Saccharomyces cerevisiae S288C: one gene and its partner. The gene in region 1 interacts genetically with each later gene. Each region holds a gene or a part of one and is shown on either strand. Other genes may lie near its edges.

Evidence for each region.
Region 2: mutations in MEK1 (region 1) and XDJ1 together harm fitness more than expected from each alone (negative genetic interaction), as found in Saccharomyces cerevisiae (3 studies listed by BioGRID).

What each region holds. Positions count from the first base shown.
Region 1 is NC_001147.6:993,775-999,111, reverse strand, and holds MEK1 (serine/threonine protein kinase MEK1), read left to right. Parts: upstream 1-2,600; coding exon 2,601-4,094; downstream 4,095-5,337. Other genes in the region: SOG2 (Sog2p), read left to right, coding at 1-659; TFIIH complex subunit TFB6, read right to left, coding at 868-1,899; MNE1 (Mne1p), read left to right, coding at 4,257-5,337. UniProt on the Saccharomyces cerevisiae protein: Probable protein kinase required for meiotic recombination.
Region 2 is NC_001144.5:317,980-322,580, reverse strand, and holds XDJ1 (Xdj1p), read right to left. Parts: upstream 1,881-4,601; coding exon 501-1,880; downstream 1-500. Other genes in the region: GEP5 (Gep5p), read right to left, coding at 1-284; alanine transaminase ALT1, read left to right, coding at 2,566-4,344.

The DNA of each region.
Region 1 (5,337 bases):
ACAATAAATCCATCAGCGATTCGAAAAAAGAGTCACAGGCGCATGAACCTAAACAGCATCCGGTTATGACTTCTTCAATAATTAACGCATCAAATAGTAATAACGTCTCGAATGTTAATATAACCCCACCACCGATGAATGGTGGTGGTGCCGCGAACAGTAGTGCTAATGTAGTGGAGACAAATATTGACATTCAACTGTATCAAACGTTGTCCACAGTAGTTAAAATGGTGAGCGTTGTATATAACCAGTTAACTTCAGAGATATCCAAGATAGCCATTGCTAGCACCATGGGAAAGCAAATTTTGACGGACTCGCTAGCACCTAAAATTCGTGATTTGACGGAAACATGTCGTCAAGCGATGGATTTATCCAAACAATTGAATGAAAGGTTAAATGTATTAATACCGAACGATTCAAATTCAGAGAAGTATCTGACATCTTTGGAGAAGCTGAAAACGTGGGAGATAATGAATTCGTTCTTAAAAGTAATAATATCAATTCTGGCTAATACTAAAATCGTAATGAGCGACGTGCCTAATTTGAATGAGCTGAGACCTAACCTAGCCAACTTGGCGAAGATTACCAAGGATGTCACTGTGATATTGGACTTGAGTTCATACAAGGCTGTATCAGTAAGCGCCAACTCTCCGGAGTAATATAAAAACTTGCATTGTGAGAAAACGCGAACTTTAGAATACGTAATGGGAGGATCATATACCCCATGGTACTGAAATGTATGCTTTATATATATATATATATATATTTATATATTTATGCATGAAAAATGAGGAGTTCGGAAACAGAAGTTTTAAAAGTTACAGATTTATTGTATAAAAGATACACGCCACTGGTTGAATGTAAATGTTAAAATGAATTGGCATGGTCTAAAAATCCCTCGTAAATCTTGCTTAATTCATAATGGTAACCATGGATACCCTGGGATTCCAAAAATATGGGTAGGCGAACTCTTGTTCGTTCCGCGATACCTTTTAACCTCACAATATCAGTCCCATTCAATCCTGCTATGTTCTTGCTGGCTGAAGACGTTTTAGGGACTTCTTTGCAATTATCATTATCATCAGTTAGAATTACAAATATCCTGTCAAGGATGAAGAAGAGTTTGAATAATTTGGATAAAGTGTCATTAATCTCTGAGTCTTCCATATTTTTGAATGTAAATTTTTCAACGTAATCGATGAGATCGTCCGCAATTTTTATTAAATAGGACCCTTGACCAAAATAACTAGAATATCCGCATGTATCTTTTGGGTTTCGGGAATCTGGGCAATGTCTCTTTTCTTCTGATTGAAGTAAATAGTCTGAGTTTGGAACATGGGCAATAGAATACCAAACGAAGTCAACTAAAGTTTTTAAATCCTGCAGCAGCGGAGTAAGACTGGCATAGCCGTTTTTGATATTCAGGCCCCTGGATTGAACAAATTTTCTTTGAATTTGTAAAAGCTGATCATCAACGTAAGAGATGAATTTGGATTGTTGAGACATTGACAATCTTCTCGGGTGTGACGTTCCATTGTGATCATTTGGCAATAATTCACTCAGCTTTGTGGCAGACGAAAAGGGAGAAGACACGTTTATTCTAGGCTGGAAATCGTCAACATCATCGAGCATAGTTACGTCGTTGATTGTGTTGTTAGTTTCATTGTAAACATCATTGAATTCTGGTGTATGATATCTTCTTTTCTTATTACAATTACGCTGCCATATAACGTTGTCTATGTTAGAATTTACGACATCACCTGAGTCTGCACTAATTTCTACATCTGAGTTTGGATCCAAGTTTAAATCATCAATGTCTTTTTCATCTAGATCATTTAAGTTGTTCAAGTCCAGTTGCTCATTCGGTTGAGCATGTAATGGTGTGTTTGGCTCAGACATCAAAATACTGTGTTGAAATCTTTTATTTTTATAATATTTCTTTCCTTACCAGGGCTTGGAGTCTCTACAACAGTTAGCTTACTGTTTATTCTGCCACATTTCCACCCTTTTGTGGGGCTTCTATTTCAAGGACCTTCATTATGGAAACAGGGCGAGGTTGTTTGTTCTTCCTGCATGTTGCGCGCAGTGCGTAAGAAAGCGGGACGTAAGCAGTTTAGCCATTCTAAAAGGGGCATTATCAGAATAAGAAGGCCCTATGAGGTATGATTGTAAAGCAAGTGGTGTAAAATTGTGTGCTACCTACCGTATTAGTAGGAACAATTATGCAAGAGGGGTCCTGTGCAAATAAAAAATATATATCTAGAAAAAGAGTAGGTAGGTCCTTCACAATATTGACTGATAGCGATCTCCTCACTATTTTTCACTTATATGCAGTATATTTGTCTGCTTATCTTTCATTAAGTGGAATCATTTGTAGTTTATTCCTACTTTATGGGTATTTTCCAATCATAAAGCATACCGTGGTAATTTAGCCGGGGAAAAGAAGAATGATGGCGGCTAAATTTCGGCGGCTATTTCATTCATTCAAGTATAAAAGGGAGAGGTTTGACTAATTTTTTACTTGAGCTCCTTCTGGAGTGCTCTTGTACGTTTCAAATTTTATTAAGGACCAAATATACAACAGAAAGAAGAAGAGCGGAATGAGACCGTTGTATAGCTGCAACCTTGCAACCAAAGATGATATTGAGATGGCAGGTGGCGTAGCTCCTGCTCACCTGGAAGTTAATGTAGGCGGCTATAATACAGAGCAGACAATACCTATAGTAAAGCATCAGCTCGTGAAAGTTGGGAGAAATGATAAGGAATGTCAACTCGTTCTAACGAATCCCTCTATCTCCTCTGTTCATTGCGTGTTTTGGTGTGTCTTTTTTGATGAGGATAGTATTCCAATGTTCTACGTTAAAGATTGTTCTCTTAATGGAACGTATTTGAACGGTTTGCTTTTGAAAAGGGACAAAACGTATCTTTTAAAACATTGCGACGTTATTGAATTATCGCAGGGAAGTGAAGAAAATGACATTAAAAAAACACGACTAGTTTTTATGATTAATGATGATTTACAATCTTCTCTGGACCCAAAACTTTTAGATCAAATGGGTTTTCTGAGGGAAGTAGACCAATGGGAAATAACAAATAGAATAGTGGGTAATGGCACTTTCGGTCATGTTCTGATCACGCATAACTCAAAAGAACGTGATGAAGATGTCTGTTATCACCCTGAAAATTATGCTGTGAAGATCATTAAACTAAAACCAAATAAATTCGATAAAGAGGCTCGAATCCTTTTGAGACTGGATCACCCAAATATTATCAAAGTCTACCATACTTTCTGTGACAGGAACAATCACCTTTACATATTCCAGGATCTTATCCCTGGTGGTGATTTGTTTTCTTACCTAGCTAAAGGCGACTGTCTAACTTCCATGTCAGAAACTGAATCGCTATTGATCGTCTTTCAAATTTTGCAAGCTTTAAACTACCTTCATGATCAAGACATTGTTCACCGCGATTTGAAACTAGACAATATTTTGTTATGTACGCCAGAACCGTGCACTAGAATCGTCTTGGCAGACTTTGGTATAGCTAAAGATTTAAATTCCAACAAAGAAAGAATGCATACTGTCGTAGGCACTCCGGAATACTGCGCTCCAGAAGTTGGATTCAGAGCAAACAGAAAAGCATATCAAAGCTTCTCAAGAGCAGCTACGTTAGAGCAACGAGGTTATGACAGTAAATGTGATCTTTGGTCTTTGGGTGTCATTACACACATTATGTTAACAGGGATCTCGCCTTTTTATGGAGATGGTTCTGAGAGGAGTATTATTCAAAATGCAAAAATTGGGAAGCTGAATTTCAAACTGAAGCAGTGGGATATTGTTTCAGATAATGCCAAGAGTTTTGTCAAAGACCTTTTGCAAACTGACGTAGTTAAACGATTAAATAGTAAGCAAGGTCTCAAACATATTTGGATTGCAAAACACTTAAGTCAATTAGAGAGATTATATTACAAAAAGATATTGTGCAATAACGAAGGCCCTAAACTAGAAAGTATAAATTCAGACTGGAAAAGGAAGTTACCCAAAAGTGTTATCATTTCTCAGGCAATACCGAAAAAGAAGAAGGTTTTGGAGTAATCATAGGATTATCTCTTCCTCTTTCAAACTGCGCGTAGTTCAAAATAAAAAGGTATCTGTGTAAAAAAAAAAAAGTAAGTCAATTGTATGATTTTTAAGTAAAAGTTGCCCTTTTCTACTAGAAACGGCGAGAAAAAATGATAGTAGTGTGCCAAGAAGAATATGAAGTTACTTTTTAAAAGATATTCGTCTAGTCATATTGGTAAGCTGATTAAGGACTCTTTAATCACTCCTGAAATACTACCACAGCTAGGGCGACAGCCATCATCGCATAAACGTTTACCAAATAACAAAAGAACTAACTCAATAACTGATAAATGGTTGAAGGATGCGCTAACAAGAAAAGATAAACTGAATGAAGATAAGCTCCAAAATGTAAATTTACGATTAAATGTGGTACTGACTACTCTACAGAAGCTTCGTACATCCGATAATCCTGCTTTGTATTTTGCGTTGTTGAATCGTATTGGCACAGGTCACATAAAATGGCTAAATAAAAGTGGCCGACAGATTGATGCATTCCCACCTGATCGGCTGCCTTTGGAATTTTATCATGAGCTATCTAATATGCTCTATAAACTATCGCTTCGGTCCGCAAATGACAAAATTGCACTAGCTAAATTTTCATTGCAATTATTGGATCGCTATTATTTTCTTAAAACCAAATCTTTAACTATAGAAGGAAAATTTCGGGCAAACATAAAATTTTTGAGGAATTGTACTCTTTTAATTGTTAAATCCCAATCGAACTACTACTTAAGGGCAATACAGCGGTTGTTCGCGGAAAATTCGGAGGGTCAATTATTAGCCAATTTATCCCAGCTGGCATTTTATGTGGAGACCTCCCAATGGACAAGTATGTTGGATATTTTATCCTCATGTGTACCGGATTCTGGTTTAAGAGGTTCGAAGGAGCGTGAAAGAGCTATTCAATTGTTGGAGTTATTTAGTCCATGCCTAGTCAAAAGTCTAAAAGTAATGATAGCACAAAATATGGAGAATGAAGCTTGTCAGATTTTAAGGAGCTTGTCTGAATGGAACTTTCATTTTGATCAGCATGATTCCTCCAACTTGATACAATTATCCCAGAACCATTCTTGCCTCAAAGTTATTGAAACCATGAATGGATTATCATCAACTACCGCTGTCACTAGGCAATTCGGACTTGAAAAATTACCAACTGACGTGAGTTTGAAGCAGAGCATACATATTTTATCAAAAGATAATTTCGAACCTCTCAAGC
Region 2 (4,601 bases), on another chromosome or scaffold:
TAGTGTTTTTGGAAGAGATGCGCATGTCGTGGGAGCGGGTTATTCCATTGGAAGTGCGTTTGGTAAATGATACTCTCCAGTGCTTTTAAGCTTGCCCTTAAATCTTGTCTTCTTTGCGCCTTCTCGTACAGTTGTAGTGATTTTGTTAACGGCACGGCTATTTCTTTGAACTTGTAATCGCTTTGTTTACTTGTGAGTGTGGTCGTCAATGCTACCTTGGTTATTTGATGAAGCGGCGTAGACTCTATGACCGGCAGTAATAAGGCGTTAACCTGGGACGCCATTGTTGCTCCAAGTTCGCAATCGCTGTTCTGATAGAAGGCCTTTGTATGCTTGCTTTATGTCCGCCGCGATGGGGATTCTTCCTATTTTTCTACTGAAGGTGCGAAAGACTTCATTCTTCACCGCATTCAGTAAATGAATTTCATATATATACATATATACAGGTAGGATAACTTATGAAAAAAAAAAAAAAATAGAATAAAAAGTTATTGATGCCATCATTGGATACAGCAGTACGAACTTCTTGCTTTCTGATGCGCTGAATCCTGTGCTTCTGGCTTGAACGGCCTTATCCCTTCTGGAAGATCGTCCGTGTGAATGATCCGGAAATTTGATATAGTTTCGTTGTTAGTCAGGTTGCTGTCATCTTCAGTATTTACAGTCGCATGTGAGGCACAAGATGAAGATGACGGCAGATTCGTTTTTATTGCTAGTAGTTCTGATTTTTCATTGAACCAGTTATCTGGTGGAAATTCAATATGAACGAAAACATACAGATCGCCGCACCGGCCATGAGGGTTATCTAAAATGGGCCAACCTTCATTGGCGATTTTGATGGTGTCACCAGGTCTTACTACTCTGCCAGGTTTAACGCTCAATGTTAGTAACCTGTCGTCGAAGGTTTTTGTCAAAAATTTCTCAAATCCCGTCAAGGCCTCGCTTAACGATATGGTAATGCTTGTATACAAATCTTCCCCGGCGCCGTCGTCAAAGTTCTTCAAAAAGATTTGCTTCTGCTCCAAGTTTTCTTGTTTTTCAGTGAGATGGAACTTTAAATCACCACATGTGGTCTTATCGATTTCCTCGTCCGCCATCCCCTTGACTGTAATTACGTCGTTAAAGTGGTGTCCCGGAGCCACGTTCACTGTGATGATTTCCTTCTTTGACAGGAGCCCCAAGCCTGCGCAATCGGGGCAAAAGTTCTTTGGATTCTTGGGTCTTTTAGTGTACTTCCCCTTACCATTACATTTCTCACAGACCACCCATTGCGAAGCTACCAAACCGGGACCAAACCTCTTCAGACGTTCCTTTGAACCCTTTCCAGCGCATGATTCACATTCCACATCGTGTGTAACGTGAATTTTCCTCTTTGGTTTCCAGCCAGAACCGTGGCACTTTATACAGATGACCTGTCTCTTTAAATCAAACTTCAGCTTCTTGCCCATGTACAAATCCTTCAAAGTAAGAGATATATCGATATCGATATCCTTAGAGCTTGTAGAGTTGCCCTCTTCGTACGCATCATACTCGCCAGGGAAATTATTTCCATCGTGACTTCCATTATTGAAGAAATTGTTAAAGAAGTTCATAAAATCTTCATCTCCAAAGCCATTAGCGCCACCGCTGCTAGCGGCACCATTATCATCACCATACAAGTCGTAATGTGATTTCTTCTCCGGATCGCTCAAGATCTCGTAAGCGGCAGTGATCTCTTTGAATTTGATTTCATTTACCTCCTTTGAGTCTTGATCCACATACTTGTCCGGATGATGTTTCAGGGCAAGCTTTCTGTAAGCAGTTTTAATCTCTTGCACGGTCGCATCTCTCGTCACCCCCAACACATCGTATAACCGGTCTCCTCTATCACTGCCACTCATTCAAAACTACACCTGCGTACTTACTTTTCCCTTTCTTTTGGGTCCAAGCGGCATATCTCTTAAGATAAGATAAGCCTGACTCTTTCTTTGCCTCTCTGCCTTTCTTTCTTCTTCCCTTCTGCAGAGGATGGCTCGTCGCTACTCAAATCCCGACCCAAGAAACAAAGAAACAAGGATTGCACAGCAGAGCGCTGCCCCACACACATATATGCATATGTTTATTTACCGCATATTCGTGGCTATATAATCCATATATAATACACAGCACATTCATGATATAATCTTACATAGTAGCACTTCCCATTAGACGTTTTCTGCTTTTACAGTACTGGTTTTTTTTTCACTCTTGCGTCTTTTTTTTTTTTCATTCTGAAGGGGTCCAAGCCTAACGATTTTCGACCTTTCGTTGAGACAACTTCACGTACTCTTCTGACCTGCTGTGGTTGACGTATTTAGAGTTTGCTGCGCCCTTTGTAAACGATCGTGACCCGCGGACCATACTAGGAAAAGCTCTTCCGTTACTACTACTGCTTTCTCGCTATTTTACTCTAGTTGTTCATACTAGTCACACGTTGCTCGAGAACAGGACCAGCTTCTTTGTTTCTCCCCCGCATTTAATTGTTTCTGCTTCTCAATTGAACGCATATAAATATATTTCCCCAGTCTTTATTTTGCTCTCTCCACGATGTTATCACTGTCTGCCAAAAATCACTTCACAGTGAGTAATTCTATAACTCACGTTATTAAGTCATATCATATAAGGACTCTCACTTCAAGCGCAGAAAAAATGCCACATATCACTACTCCTTTTTCTACCTCAGCCAGTAGTACAAAGTTAAAAGCTTTCAGGAAAGTTAGACCCGTCCTACAGAGACATAGCTCTTCCTGGATTGTTGCTCAAAATCATAGACGTTCATTATCTGGTCAATCTTCGCTAAACGACCTGCGTCATTTGAATCGCTTTCCACACCACACGTTGAAAACTTCGAATAACGAGTTTTATCCCGCCGAACAATTGACTTTGGAAGACGTAAATGAAAATGTCTTGAAGGCTAAGTACGCCGTTAGAGGTGCCATCCCAATGAGAGCTGAAGAATTGAAAGCTCAACTGGAGAAGGATCCTCAATCTCTGCCATTTGACAGGATTATCAACGCCAATATTGGTAATCCTCAGCAACTACAACAGAAACCTCTGACTTACTACAGACAGGTCTTGTCTCTCTTACAATACCCAGAACTATTAAACCAAAACGAACAGCAGCTAGTTGATTCGAAATTGTTTAAACTAGATGCCATTAAACGTGCAAAGAGTTTAATGGAAGATATCGGTGGTTCTGTTGGTGCTTACTCTTCTTCTCAAGGTGTAGAAGGTATAAGGAAAAGTGTCGCTGAATTTATAACGAAGAGGGACGAAGGCGAGATATCATACCCAGAGGATATTTTCCTAACTGCTGGTGCATCCGCAGCTGTCAATTACTTGTTATCAATTTTCTGTAGAGGGCCAGAAACGGGTGTCTTGATTCCAATTCCTCAATATCCATTATATACCGCTACTCTAGCTTTGAACAATTCTCAAGCTTTACCATACTATTTAGATGAGAATTCAGGTTGGTCAACTAATCCAGAAGAAATTGAAACTGTCGTCAAAGAGGCTATACAGAACGAAATCAAACCTACAGTTCTAGTGGTTATCAATCCAGGTAATCCTACAGGAGCTGTCCTATCACCTGAGTCTATAGCTCAGATTTTTGAAGTCGCAGCCAAGTACGGTACAGTAGTGATAGCTGACGAAGTTTATCAAGAAAATATCTTCCCGGGCACCAAGTTCCATTCTATGAAGAAAATTTTGAGACATTTACAGAGGGAACATCCAGGTAAATTCGATAATGTTCAGCTAGCTTCTTTGCATTCGACTTCTAAGGGTGTTTCTGGTGAATGTGGTCAAAGGGGTGGCTACATGGAACTCACTGGATTCAGCCATGAGATGAGACAAGTTATCTTGAAACTAGCCTCGATTTCATTGTGTCCCGTTGTCACAGGTCAAGCTTTGGTTGATTTGATGGTTCGTCCACCAGTGGAAGGGGAGGAATCATTCGAGTCGGACCAAGCAGAACGTAACTCCATCCATGAAAAGTTAATTACAAGAGCAATGACACTGTATGAGACATTTAACTCTTTAGAAGGCATTGAATGTCAAAAGCCTCAAGGTGCCATGTATTTATTCCCTAAGATAGACTTACCTTTCAAGGCAGTTCAAGAAGCTCGCCACTTAGAGTTAACTCCGGATGAATTTTATTGTAAGAAGTTGTTAGAATCTACTGGCATTTGCACTGTTCCCGGTTCTGGGTTTGGTCAAGAACCTGGTACTTACCATTTAAGAACAACATTTTTGGCACCTGGTCTGGAATGGATTAAGAAATGGGAAAGTTTCCATAAAGAATTTTTTGACCAATACCGTGACTGAATAAAAGGGGGCAGAACAGTCTTCAATAAACATTTAAATAGCTAGTTTATTATAATAATGTGATCGTTTCTTTCTTCCACAACTCACATATAGTTATTTGATATTATCGCATCTTCGCTTCTCTATGCCATGTTTCCATCAATACTTATGTTTTATTTAATACATATTTGTATCAGTATATCATATCATTTCATCTTCTTTTGCTTCGATTTGTAATGTTTGTGCGTATAAAATCAATTGCGTAGTTCGAACACCCG